Kluyveromyces lactis: one gene and its partner. The protein of the gene in region 1 binds, or shares a complex with, the protein of each later gene. Links are inferred from orthologs where the notes say so. Each region holds a gene or a part of one and is shown in the gene's direction. Other genes may lie near its edges.

Region 1 (2,199 bases):
TGCTTGTTCTCCTGAGACTCTTCCTCAGGTACTGAGGTGGCTGCAGTACTAGGCGGCGGTTCATCCTCAGTTATCGGCAGTTGATTCAGTTCTAGTTCCGGGTCCTCATCGTTAAACTCGAAATCTGCAGGAATGAACAACGACTCTCTCCGTGAACTCTTACGCCTCCTCTTTCTCAGAGGTCGTACCTCATCATCATTCAGCTCGAGACTATTCCCGCTATTTTCATGGTTATCTTCCGCAATTGGATCCTCAAACCCAACTGGTTTCGTTGTGGTATTTGCACCAGTAAACTCCACTTTCTTCGCAGATCTCGGGCTTATACCATTCGAGCCTCTCAAAATCGGTTTAAGAGGGTTATCATGAATACCTGATTCTAAACCCTGGCTCTCCCGTACTGTGGTCAACAATTGGTTCATTTGCAAGAATTTTTCTACAATTCCGTCCTCTAACGTCTGGAAAACAGTATTGAGCTTCTCACGATAGCGCAATTCACCCATAGAAAGCCGCGACCGTAAGGAAACATTCTCTTGCACCAATTCACTCACTTTAGTCTCCATATCAGTGATTTTCATCATAAGACTGGAATTATATTTCGCAAGCTGACTGTTCTGCTGTAAATAAATTCCCTTTTGTTGCTCAAGCATAGCTTGAAATTCATCGTACTGCGAAGAAGCGCTCATGTTGCACTCTCACAAAACTTAGTAACACTATCCGCCGTCAATTCGGGTCCCTATAGACTTAGGAATCGCTCTTCTTTCAGTCAATGAACAGGTTATTTAAACGCTGAATGAGATCTAAAGCTTTGAATGTTTTCATTGTTTACGTTTTGTTCTACGATGTAAACACAAAAAAACAAGATTACCCGGATCATATTTAGTACTACATTTAATTCAAATGAGGTAAGTTGGACATGTAATGGGCAATTTGATGTTATCCAACCCTTCGTTCATTCTAAATAGCGGTGTTAATGCTTAGCGTAGCTTGTATAGATCAATCTCCCCTGATACAAGTCGGTTTTCTCGAGTTTTCTTCCTTTATTTCAATATCGGAATAATATGAAATCACGACTTTGAACTAATCTCTACAATGTGAATTCTTTCAAAGACTAGAAGAACCAAGAATTATCAGCTAAGATAGACACTTCTCGGAGCGAGTTGGATGATATATTCTAGCTGAAGAGTAAGAGGTTTGGGTCACCTGAAAAAAAGTTGTCAGTATGGCATTTGAAACCGAGATCGAGACTAAGAGAAGAGAATTGAATTATTTGAAGCATGTTTCTGCATTGACACAGAAATTAAAGGCTCAATTGGACGAGCTGAGCGTTCAGGTAGCGCAGATGAATAGCAATGCTGTGACTGTTAAAGACGTAATGGCTAATTGGGACTCGGTTCTTCGGTCTATCTCTCAGGCTTCGATATCTTTACTTCAGTATACAGAAAACGACTATGAGACTGGGAAATGGGCCAGTAAAGAGGAACATAGAAACCAACAGGGCGCTGAAGATGAAAGTGCTGCGTCAGAAAGTTCAGAAGATAACCAGCAGCGGCAACAGGATCAATTACCTCCGCTTCCGGAAACTTTGGTACGGGTGAAAGTTGCAGATGACGTTGAATAACGTTTTTATTGAATATATACATATGGTGTATAAACAGGTTTTATACTATGTACAATTAATTGGTGTGGCACCTTCTTCTATTATTGAATTAGAAAGATGTGGGACTTGTCTCGATTGTGTTAGTTGCGTAATTGATGACACATTGGTTACCGGTTTCCTCGTTGATTTCTCCAATGATGGATTGTAACATCGTAACGTCCAAATTCGAATTAGCGAAAAGAGCAACCTCTCGTTTGACGTCGCTAGCTAATTTATTAAGATCGGTTAGTCCATGGTACATGCCATCCAGGTATGAGTCAGTGATCAATTTCTCATTGGCCAAGTTGTCGATGATTGGAAGTTCGATACTTTGATGGTAGAACTGCTGCTTGAAAAAGACCCTTAAAGTTTGTCTAACCGCATTTTCATCGGATAAGAGACACCTTCTCCAGATCTGGTACTCGCAGTACTTTTTTACTTCAGTGGGTAACGTGTGATCAATGGCAAGGATACTCAATGCAAATCCATAAGAAGTATCTTGATTTAATAGTGTGAATAATTCTATCATATGCGGCACTGAGAGAGATTCTCTCCTCTTCACA
Region 2 (2,340 bases), on another chromosome or scaffold:
CCATGCCTGAGTCAATGATAATAAGTTTAGTTTGCTTATTTGCACTTATTGATGAAAGTGGGACAACAATCTCACCACGACACACAGGAGATTTAGAGTTGAGATAATATGAGAGAATCCCAAATTTTATATCGAGTTTAAAGAACCGTTTGGTAAAACCTTGTAGCTTCTTTCTCTTCTTTTTTAGTAAATATCCTTGGAATCCTTTACTGTTTTTCAAATCGTGATCTGTCGCGGATGTAGAACTTGGACTCAGTGGTTTTATTGGCACTGGAGAATTAGTGTTTGGTCCGTTAGATGTACCCACGTTGGAAATTGTGCTTGGAGTAGTCTGGCCTGGAGATGGCGCAAATGGATTGGAATTCGATTTTGCTAATGAGGACAAAGATGGATCCTTGAATGACGTTTGGCTATAATTCAAAGGTCGCTTGCCATTCGTCCCATTGGCACCAAAGCTTTCCTCTTGGTTTGAAATGACGGATTCCTGATCGTCATCCAAACCTTCCATTGCCGATGCACTAGGGTTGATACTCACCGAAAATAAACATTTTTTCTTAGTCTGCTTCGAAGTAGTATTGTCTAAAATGAACGCGTAATAACAACTCTCACAAGTTGATTCGAACGATTCGGCAACGGTATCGTTGTTAGAAATGGTCCCATACCAGGTCACCTTTTCCAGACCGCTTTGTGCTAACCTTGTTTGCAACGGCACGTTTTTGTCCTTTTCGTGATCTGCCAAGGCAACGTTAGGCTTGGCATCGGTTGAAATTCGAATTAACGGATTAGTATTACTATTCGAAGAAGCTTTTACACTCCCATGGTTTGTTTCACTCAAATCAGTCGTGGATGATCCACCAAACCGTCTGTATATACCAAACCCTATCGATTTTTTCAAAGGTTTCAACCGAAACGAAACTATATCACCTTGAGAAACTTTCTGCCAACGCACAACAAATGATTTATTTTGAACGTCAATAGTATCCATGTTTGATGCCGAAAAAAATTTAATAGTTACAATTGAATCACTCTCGAAACTAAGTAGACGTTCCAATCTACCTTTATCGGTCGGTTATTCGCTGAAAAATCAATTCTGAATAAGAGAGATTAACCAGGGGAAAAGATCAACAAACACCTGATAGGCACGCAGTAAGAATGGTAATTATTCACAGGTGAAATTTAACTGACAATATCCGTTACCAGCAATTATCACCAAATTGATATATGATGCCCGCCAAAAGCTCGAAACGCACACTAGAAGTCTGTTATAGATGAAATTTGGATCCTTGTTTACTTCAAATTAAAGGTTTAGTTTATTATACTCAAGCTTTTTTTTAATTCATTTTCACTGAGAAGCTGCTTTGGGGCAGGTACTAATTTTCATCATTTAAAAAAAAAAAAAAAAAGGTTTATAATAGCATCCAACATGTATTCAAATGCAAAACATCGGTCAAAAATGTAAACCACAAGGAAAACACAGGCACTAGAGGCTACAAAACTGGTGTATAACTATCCGTCATCAGTTATATTTGTGATACATACCATGGAAAACCCGTATGAGAAAGTTCAAAGCAATATTCTGGCTAGAATCATTGGCAATGTCGAAAGGTTGAACCAGAGTGTAGTGATACTAAACCAAGAGCTTCGAAGGGTAAACACCAAGAATAAGAATTTGGAACTGATGTCACAAATGTGTGAGAACTATAGAGAATCTGTTGATTTCCAGTTGCAGGCAACTTCCAAGAAACAGGACCCATTGTAAGGTCTCACATATATTCTAACGAGAAGAATTTATTAAAAAAAAAAAGCAGTTACTTAAGTGATGTAGTATGTACGTATATACATACGCCTTTTTATAGTCGGTTTCAGGACCGTACTGATTCTAATTTACAGATAATAATGGATTAATTTTTTTTGTTCATGTTCAGTGAGTTTTAACCGGTGCAATTTTGTCTGCGGATTGTGTTCCAACTTGTAGGGACCTTAGTTTGGCAAAAGGTTGTATCTCTTCTTCAAAGTAACTCTTTGTCTGGAGTATTTGTCATCTGGAGAGAATCTAGCAGGGTGAGCAGACTTTGTAATTTCATTATCCTCAGTCATCTTCTTCAAAGTATAGATTCTCTTGCCTTGGGCATCCAAAGTGTACATCAAATGCATAGTGGGTAGTGGGTAGAGTGTGATAGATGCTTTTGGTTGGAAGTGAAAAGGAACTAGATATATGGATAACAAGACACTTTCTTTCAAGCGATGAGCTATACCGATCAGTTAGTTAATGCTATGTTGAAAAACTGATTATATCTCTTTGAAAATTTAGCAGATGCACTTGATGGAAAAGAAATATTC

What was found.
Region 2: DAD2 (region 1) and DAD4 share a complex: the UniProt entries of both Saccharomyces cerevisiae proteins name them as parts of the DASH complex. The link is inferred for Kluyveromyces lactis from reciprocal best matches to the Saccharomyces cerevisiae genes DAD2 and DAD4.

What each region holds. Positions count from the first base shown.
Region 1 is NC_006037.1:700,827-703,025, forward strand, and holds DAD2 (Dad2p), read left to right. Parts: upstream 1-1,219; coding exon 1,220-1,618; downstream 1,619-2,199. Other genes in the region: SGO1 (Sgo1p), read right to left, coding at 1-683; NUP133 (Nup133p), read right to left, coding at 1,707-2,199. UniProt on the Saccharomyces cerevisiae protein: Component of the DASH complex that connects microtubules with kinetochores and couples microtubule depolymerisation to chromosome movement; it is involved in retrieving kinetochores to the spindle poles before their re-orientation on the spindle in early mitosis and allows microtubule depolymerization to pull chromosomes apart and resist detachment during anaphase.
Region 2 is NC_006039.1:1,465,628-1,467,967, reverse strand, and holds DAD4 (Dad4p), read left to right. Parts: upstream 1-1,540; coding exon 1,541-1,759; downstream 1,760-2,340. Other genes in the region: oxysterol-binding protein related protein OSH3, read right to left, coding at 1-985; snoRNP complex protein NOP10, read right to left, coding at 1,981-2,154. UniProt on the Saccharomyces cerevisiae protein: Component of the DASH complex that connects microtubules with kinetochores and couples microtubule depolymerisation to chromosome movement; it is involved in retrieving kinetochores to the spindle poles before their re-orientation on the spindle in early mitosis and allows microtubule depolymerization to pull chromosomes apart and resist detachment during anaphase.